2 linked regions of the Saccharomyces cerevisiae S288C genome follow. The protein of the gene in region 1 interacts with the protein of each later gene in a pairwise test. Each region holds a gene or a part of one and is shown on either strand. Other genes may lie near its edges.

The links.
Region 2: the proteins of WHI2 (region 1) and PSR1 interact in binary tests that used the Saccharomyces cerevisiae proteins (3 or more experiments, as listed by UniProt).

Annotation. Positions count from the first base shown.
Region 1 is NC_001147.6:408,975-413,533, forward strand, and holds WHI2 (Whi2p), read left to right. Parts: upstream 1-1,895; coding exon 1,896-3,356; downstream 3,357-4,559. Other genes in the region: ubiquitin-binding protein CUE5, read left to right, coding at 1-686; IRC23 (Irc23p), read left to right, coding at 4,033-4,506. UniProt on the Saccharomyces cerevisiae protein: Plays a role in the coordination of growth and proliferation. Required for entry into G0 phase under conditions of carbon limitation.
Region 2 is NC_001144.5:128,650-132,771, forward strand, and holds PSR1 (phosphatase), read right to left. Parts: upstream 1,965-4,122; coding exon 681-1,964; downstream 1-680. Other genes in the region: rRNA-processing protein SOF1, read left to right, coding at 1-343; copper metallochaperone COX17, read right to left, coding at 2,556-2,765; DRS1 (putative ATP-dependent RNA helicase), read left to right, coding at 3,080-4,122. UniProt on the Saccharomyces cerevisiae protein: Has phosphatase activity in vitro. Involved in the response to sodium and lithium ion stress (but not to potassium or sorbitol stress) by inducing transcription of the sodium pump ENA1/PMR2.

The DNA.
Region 1 (4,559 bases):
ACAGCTCACATTCCCGTCGTCGTAATCGTGATCGCGCAACTAGAAGCATGCATGAACAGCGCAGAAGACGTCATAATCCGAACGAAAGGGAGCAACATCACGAAGACAGTGAGGAAGAAGATTCGTGGTCGCAATTTGTAGAAAAGGACCTGCCAGAGCTTACGGACAGAGCCGGTCGGTCATTACAGGACACAGCAAACAAAGTTAGTAACTGGATAAGTGATGCTTACCGGAGAAACTTTGCGTCAGGTAATGAGCAAAACGACAACCAACATGGTCACCAAGATCAGCAAGAATGGGAGCCAGAGATTGTGGATTTGTCACAAGGCGGGAAAAATTCAAGACCCCAGCAACCTGAGAGAAGAAGATTCAATTCGTTTGGCGTTCAAGTCGGTGATGACTCTTTAGAAAGCCACGGAATCACACTACACAACGAAGATGGATTTGAAGATGATGAAGATGTGCCACCTCAGTTACCAACGAGAACAAAATCTGGTGAGTCGACTGGAAAAGTAGTGGCAGAGACAACCTACATTGATACTCCAGATACAGAAACGAAGAAGAAATGGCAGCCGCTACCACCGGAACCCCTGGATACTACACCAACTAAAGTAAACGCTGTTTCTAGAAATAAGAAAAATCCGGATGAGGATGAATTCTTAATCAATAGTGACGACGAGATGTAAAGCTGATATCTACGTACATGTGTATACGTGCCAATATTTGGACGCATCTTATTTTACGCGCTTGTGAAGAACTCACTACCTTCTTGAAGGAAGTAAGAAAAAATTTTCAGAATTGTTGATAGTCGTATATCTTCCATTATAACTATTGTTAGCTATTAATTCAGATAATGTAGATAAGATTGAAAACATAAATTCATCATAAAAAAGAATAGGTCTTTTACGGCACCCGTTCAGACACTTTGACACTTCAAAGTATATGCATCAGCACACTTCTGACCATTCTACGTATTGTAACAGCAACATGAGTTCTTTAAAACTCCAATTGACATTTTCGTAATGTGTTTTGCATATCATCTAAATTTCAATGACAGATTTAAAAAGTCAAGTAATTAAAAATTTTCATAAGCGTGCTTTTTTATAGTGCGAAGAACGGCAAAGGCAACCTTAAGAAAAAAAAATGATAGGTTACGTGCTATATCCGGAAAATAAAGAAAGATGAGTAAGAGTTAAAGAAAGAATTCAACCAACCTGATGGGTGTATGAAAATCCCGATTTTATATCGACAGCGCTAGCATGCATGAACAGTGTTTTGACGGTCAAGAAAAAACATAACCTCTGCATAATGTACTTACTTATCAAAACGTTGCAAATCTTGTATGTAAGAGGTGTTTGGGTGTTTTTTCCAAACGACCCGAAGGAGGGCAATTCAAAATAAAAAAAGCAAATTTTATCAGGAAGAGAAGATTTTAGTCAGAACGGGCCATGTTCAATGGCCAATTTCTTATGCTCTAGAGTAATAATTACTAAGGAGGAAAGTAAGACAAAAAACGGTCTATCGTTGTTTTAAGTTTACAGCATAGGCATAGTGATAGAGTGTGAGAGAGTCTCTAACTCGGCGTCAGTTTAGAGTCATTTTTTTCTTTTCTCCCCCCAAAGGTCATAAGAAGATAAGGATCCAAATTTAGAAGACAAAAAAAGTTTTGTTAGAACGTTTATCCCATTAAAAATAAGGGAAAAGAGAAACAACGTTATTTAGTGATTTTTTTAATTGAGAAGCATTTTCTCCAGTGATAATTTAATTGTTTTTTTATTCGGAAAAGAACAGAAAGCGCAAGAAGACAACTCCTTCACACTTAGGCTATTAATTTTCCCGCCTCCCCATTAATTGATAAAGATAAAGGTTGTCTGAGCTTACACTTATTATAAACAATGGACGATATAATCACGCAAGTTTCTCCAGATAATGCAGAGTCCGCTCCGATTCTACAAGAACAGCAACAGCAACAGAACTCACAGTACGAAGGTAACGAGGAGGATTATGGTGATTCATTGATTCATTTGAATATTCAAGAAAACCATTATTTCATTACGAGGGACCAGTTGATGTCTCTACCTGAATCCCTATTACTGTGTTTATTTCCCTCAGGTGTTTTTTTGGACCGTTGTGGTCAGGTCATTACTAATTTGACCAGAGACGATGAGGTCTACATTGTTAATTTCCCTCCTGATTGTTTTGAGTACATCATGGAGATATATACAAAAGCGCATGATGATTTGTATAATCATCCTGTGGAGAAATTTTTTGACAGACCATCAAGTAGCTTTGTTTCGAATGCAAAGGGATTTTTTGGACTGAGTAGCAATAATTCAATTTCGAGCAACAATGAGCAGGATATTTTACATCAAAAGCCCGCTATTATTGTTTTGAGAGAAGACTTGGATTATTATTGTGTACCTCAGGAGGAATTTCAGTTTGATTCCACTAATGAAGAAAATAATGAGGATTTATTGCGACATTTTATGGCTCAAGTGAAAATGGCTGCTGGCAGTTATTTAACTTCAAAAACATCGATTTTCCAAGGTTTGTATTCTTCGAATAGACTAAAGCAACAACAGCAACAACAGAAAATTGAAAAGGGGTCCAATTCTTCTTCAAATACTAAATCTACTTCGAAAAAATTGGGACCTGCTGAACAACATTTAATGGATATGTTGTGCTCCTCCGGATTCACCAAGGAAACTTGTTGGGGTAACAGAACTCAAGAAACTGGCAAAACGGTTATAAGTTCACTGTCTCTTTGCCGATTGGCTAACGAGACAACTGAAGGATTTAGGCAAAAATTTAACGAGGCTAAGGCTAAGTGGGAGGCAGAGCACAAACCTTCTCAAGACAACTTCATCACCCCAATGCAATCTAACATATCGATTAACTCTTTATCTGCAAGTAAATCTAACAGTACCATTTCTACAGCAAGGAATTTAACAAGCGGAAGTACAGCACCTGCTACAGCACGTGATAAGAGAAAATCAAGGCTGTCGAAACTAGCAGATAACGTTCGTTCGCACTCTTCCTCGAGACATAGTTCGCAGACCAGAAGTAAACCTCCGGAGTTGCCCAAATTGTATGATCTAGTGCCAAAACCTAATATCAACGCTAAGCTACTATTATTTTGGAGAAAACCTGCTCGTAAATGTTGGTGGGGTGAAGAAGACATAGAGCTAGAAGTGGAAGTCTTCGGCTCTTGGAAAGATGAATCAAAGAAAATCATTGAATTGATCTTGCCAACAAACGTTGATCCTGAAGCAGAACTACATAAAATCATTGTACCCGTCCGATTACATATTCGTAGAGTTTGGACTTTAGAGTTGAGCGTTATTGGGGTGCAGTGAGTGTATATAATATATTAGAGAAAGAAATGGAAAGAGATCGGGCCAAAGACACAATATGTAACAGTATGGTTTCTTGGTATCCCCTCTTTCTATTCCTCCCTTGTTACGAAATGATGTATATTTGTATCTCTATAACAAAATTATATGAACTGTCTCAAAGCACATGAAGAAGGAAAAAAGGTGGCGTCGAAGACTGCTAGATATTTCTCTTCGTATCTTCCCATCCCCTTCTGCAAATAACGGTTTTTCCATTGTCTATTTCAAAGTTACCCGCATAATAAAGTCGTACATTGTTCGAAAAATATCACTCAAAAGCAGCATTGATCCGGTATAAAACAATAGAAATTTTTTTTTTTTTTTATTGTTATAATTATTCTGACTCACGTCTGGATTTCGTTAGTTCGTCATTTTTTCTTAATTTCAGTAAACTGTGATCACGAGTCTGCAACATCATTATACACCGTATATCTGTATTATTAAGAATCAGGGTCTCCTTTTAATTTGCTGTTGAAAAACATCTTAAGGGAGTGTGATTGTCTGTTGATGTATACTAGTCTGGTAAAGCTAAATATTCTTATAAAAAACTTTTGGTAACCCATTATTACAGGAAACAAGATCCATTTATCAGATAAAAATTATAAAACATTAAGGAATCAGGACCTTTTTTTCGACAATCATGATAGAGGCGTTGGAAATAGTTCTATTGCTCGTTATACAATCACTTCAATATATCTGTCGCACATGCATAGCTTTTTTGCTAATACCATTCTTAGGCCTGTATGCATTCGATCTCTTCCTATACGTTTATCGGATGATACTTTATCTGTCACAAATGTTCAATTACAAGAGAAAACTAGGACGTTCTAAAACAAATAATAGGCCGCATAGTCCCAGGCTACATAAGATATACAGTAGTGGGGATTGCATGGATACCTTAATTGGCCAAGTAAGGGATTTGAGAGTATTTTTGTTATCCACGATCCACAGCCACTCTAAAAGATTCTTTTCTACGAGATTTCAGACAAAATCAGGCATTAACTCTGCTATTGACGCGAATGATGTTGAAACAACATCTGACGTATCTAGTTTTACAAATTTACATTTAACAAGGTCATCGGAAGAAGGTTATTATATCGCAGGATCGATATAATAAAAGAAAATATGGAAAACCCTTTCATGGGTGTTTGCACGGAATTAGGATCA
Region 2 (4,122 bases), on another chromosome or scaffold:
AAGTAAAGCTTGGGAGAGGTCTAATGTCAAAACTACTCGTGAAAAGAATAAATTAGAATATGACGAAAAATTAAAAGAAAGATTTAGACATATGCCGGAGATCAAAAGAATCAGTAGACATAGACACGTGCCACAAGTCATCAAAAAGGCTCAGGAAATTAAGAACATTGAGTTGAGTTCTATTAAGAGAAGAGAAGCTAATGAAAGGCGTACTAGAAAGGATATGCCATACATTTCCGAAAGGAAGAAACAAATCGTTGGTACCGTGCACAAATATGAAGATTCAGGAAGAGATAGGAAAAGAAGAAAGGAAGATGACAAACGTGATACTCAAGAAAAGTAGTTATTCTGTTTTATGTTGTCTGTATATACACATATGTACAATATTTGCATTTTTTTAATTTTTAATTCACATGTATTTGATAAATGTTCACGCCAGTCCCGTTAAATTAAAATTACCATTTTATTAGATTATGAATTTATATATGAATACATTGTGTCGTAATGGTAGAAGAAGTTGAAAAAAAAAATGTCAAGGGACAGCATGGGTACAGTGTGTTGAGCCAAAAAAAAAAAGAAAAAAAAAGAAAAAACTTTTTGTTCTCTGGTTCTTTTCTTCATCTTCTTCATCTTCATTCTTTGGTAGCGGGGGCCACAAGAAATTCGGGCGAAAGTGCTCATTATATTGTTACATCCAAAATTTTGCCCACATCCAGTGAGGTTTTCACAGAAAGGTCTTCTAAAAGAGGAATAATATCTAATAATTCGTTATCATGAGTATCTGAGAACCAGGACGAAATCGGTATTGCATGTTGGGGATGAAAAATATAAGATGCCGGAGAGTTATCGAGAATGATGATATCTGATAACGGCCTTCCAATCTGGGATAAGTTTTTTATATAGTTTCCTTCATAGTTATAGCAAGCCTCTCTGAATAATCTGTGATGAATGACTTTATCTGTGTCTAATATATCAAGCAAAGGATCACCGTATCGAGAGACACTAGCCGTGAAGACTACAACCTCGAATAATTTTCCGACTCTTTCCAAAAATTCTTCCACACCAGGTCTTTTAATGACATAGACATTGTGTACTTGGTCATCTATTTCCACAGACAAAACAAAATCCGCAGATCGTAAGTATTTGAAAGAAGAGTGTACCAAGGTTTCATCCAGGTCCAGTATTAGGCATTTCTTGCCCTTTGTACTTTCATCTTGTGGGGGGAGCAGAGTGTTGTAACCTGGTGCATGATACTGGCCCTGCTGCAAAAGCGTTAGATCAATATATTCTTCATCTTCATCGTCTTCGTCGTCGGCATCGTTGGAAGTTTCACTGGCTTGAGAGCTGCTACTTACCCTACTCAAATTCATATCTTGGATAAGATGGTCAGACGATACTTGTACAGTAGGCCCTCGCTGCTGCGACTGCGACTGCGACTGTGACTGTGACTGTGACTGGGGTTGTGGTTGTGGTTGTGACTGTTGTTGTTGTTGCTGCTGTTGTTTTTTCTGCCTGGAAGTATCTTTCACAGCATCTCCTTTTTCCTGTACAATGCCACGACTGCGACGGTTATCTTCATCGTCGATCTCTTCATCTTCGTCAACCTCGTATTTTTCCTCGTAAAGATCATCTTTACTAATTCGCTTCTCTACTTTTGTCATATTATTAGTAGTAGTGGCGGTGACGGCTGCAGTCGGCGACGATGGCTTCTTTTTTTCATTATCGTTCGTGCTTATCCCAGATTTACCGGTGGATCGTTCAGTGGAACTGAAAGTAGCGGCTGAATTTGTCTTAGAAGGAGGAGAGTTTGTCTGATGTACGCCACGGGTTCGGCTTTTCGTGTTGGAATGTTTAACGCTTCTGTTTTTATTGAGAGAACTGCTCTGTTGTTGGCGATAAGCAGAATTGGAATTGGATTGTGTCGTCTCGGAAGAGCAGCACAGTATTGACGATATGAAACCCATACTGTTTTGCTACTTATTGTTGTTAAAGCTTACGAACACGAATGTAGGCAAATAAAAAGCTTGGATAAACGCACAATGAAAGGGGAAGTGCGATTGATTATGCTATAAGGAATGACACGAAGAGAGCAGACTATAGGCTAGGCAGGCGATAAAGGAAGGAGTTGTACTTGACGACAACGTAATAAAGAGTTCAATGAAAGAGTATTGTGAGCAGTATGGTTCAACGAGCACTTCTTCTCGACACCTATTTCTATACTTTTTCACTTAATATACACTAACTAATCCCAGACTTTTTTTTTTTTCCGTTCTTTCCAGAAAAAAAAGAAACAAAGCAAGCGTGCCCTGACTTAGGGTTTCCTAAAAAAGTTATTAGGTTTGTGTCACGTGATACGTCCTTTTCTGGTCACGTGGTCTTAGAACACTCTTAAGGGGCCAAGCACAAGAGGACAGTGCTAGCAGTAGAAGTGGTGTAGTAGTGATGAGGTAATGTTAATTGTGCATCGCACATATTTACAGGTAGTATATACTATAGTTTGTGAATACCTATTCTTATATATACAAGAAATGGTTGTCGGCAGACTGTCAGTAAGACTAATTTGCACTTGGAACTTCGAAGCCATAACCCTTCATGCACTCTTTGTACTTTTCAATGAATTCCTTGCATTTTTCAGAGTCTTGTCCATTGAATAAGATGCATGTATCCCGCTCCTCCTTTTCTGGCTTACAAACGCAACATGGCTTAGGTTTGTCCTCGCACTCCGCGTGGTTTTCTTGTTCTTGTTTCTTGTCAGTTTCAGTCATTGGGTATAATTGATTGTGTAGTTATCTGATTGTGTACACTAAAATTTTGTTTAGTTGTACTAGAGACAAGTAGTTAGGTGGTTACTAGATTCTGATTCGCCGCTATATATCGTCATTTTATCTTTTTTTGAAGGAGATAGGTAGGGTTATAACATTATCCGGGTAATGATTTGAAAAAAAATTTTCAAAAAATGCGATGAGATGAGGTTGAAAATTGTAAGTTAGAATATGCTTAGATAGTATGAGTATTTACGTTGGTAACTTGGGTTTCGAATTGGAGCTGTGTGCCTACAACAGCGTCTTATATATATACTATGGTGGTAGGAACTAAAAAATACTCTAATTTGGACTTTGTCCCTACAATCAGTGACAGTGAAGACGATGTTCCAATTCTAGATTCTTCTGATGACGAAAAAGTCGAGGCTAAGAAGACTACGAAGAAGCGGAAGGGTAAGAATAACAAGAAAAAGGTTAGTGAGGGGGATAACCTCGATGAGGATGTTCATGAGGACTTGGACGCGGGGTTTAAGTTTGATTTGGACGCCGATGATACCACTTCGAACTTCCAAGGCTGGAACTTTCTAGCAGAGGGCGAGTCCAATAAGGACGATGCCGAAGCTTTTGTGAAGAAGGACGTTGACTTGGATAAGATTATTAGAAGAAAAGGTGGGCTGGTGAAAATGGCCCATATTGATAGTAAACAAGAAGAAGAAACCGAGAAAGAAAAAGTAGAAAAAGAAAACGATAGCGACGATGAGGAATTAGCAATGGACGGGTTCGGTATGGGAGCTCCCATGAACAATGGAGACGAAAATCAGTCAGAAGAAGAAGAAGAAGAGGAGGAAAAGGAAGAGGAAGAGGAGGAAGAGGAGGAACAAGAAGAGATGACGTTAGAAAAAGGCGGCAAAGATGACGAAATAGATGAAGAAGACGATTCTGAAGAGGCAAAAGCCGATTTCTATGCGCCTGAAACTGAGGGAGATGAAGCTAAAAAGCAAATGTACGAAAATTTCAACAGTTTGTCTTTATCTCGTCCGGTTCTTAAGGGCCTTGCAAGTTTGGGTTACGTCAAGCCTTCCCCTATTCAAAGCGCCACAATCCCCATTGCCTTATTGGGTAAAGACATCATTGCCGGTGCTGTGACTGGTTCCGGTAAGACTGCTGCGTTTATGATTCCCATAATCGAGCGTTTGTTGTATAAACCAGCCAAAATCGCTTCCACCAGAGTTATTGTTCTATTGCCCACTCGTGAGTTAGCTATCCAAGTCGCTGACGTTGGTAAACAAATTGCACGTTTCGTCTCCGGTATAACCTTTGGTCTGGCCGTTGGTGGTTTGAACTTGAGACAACAAGAACA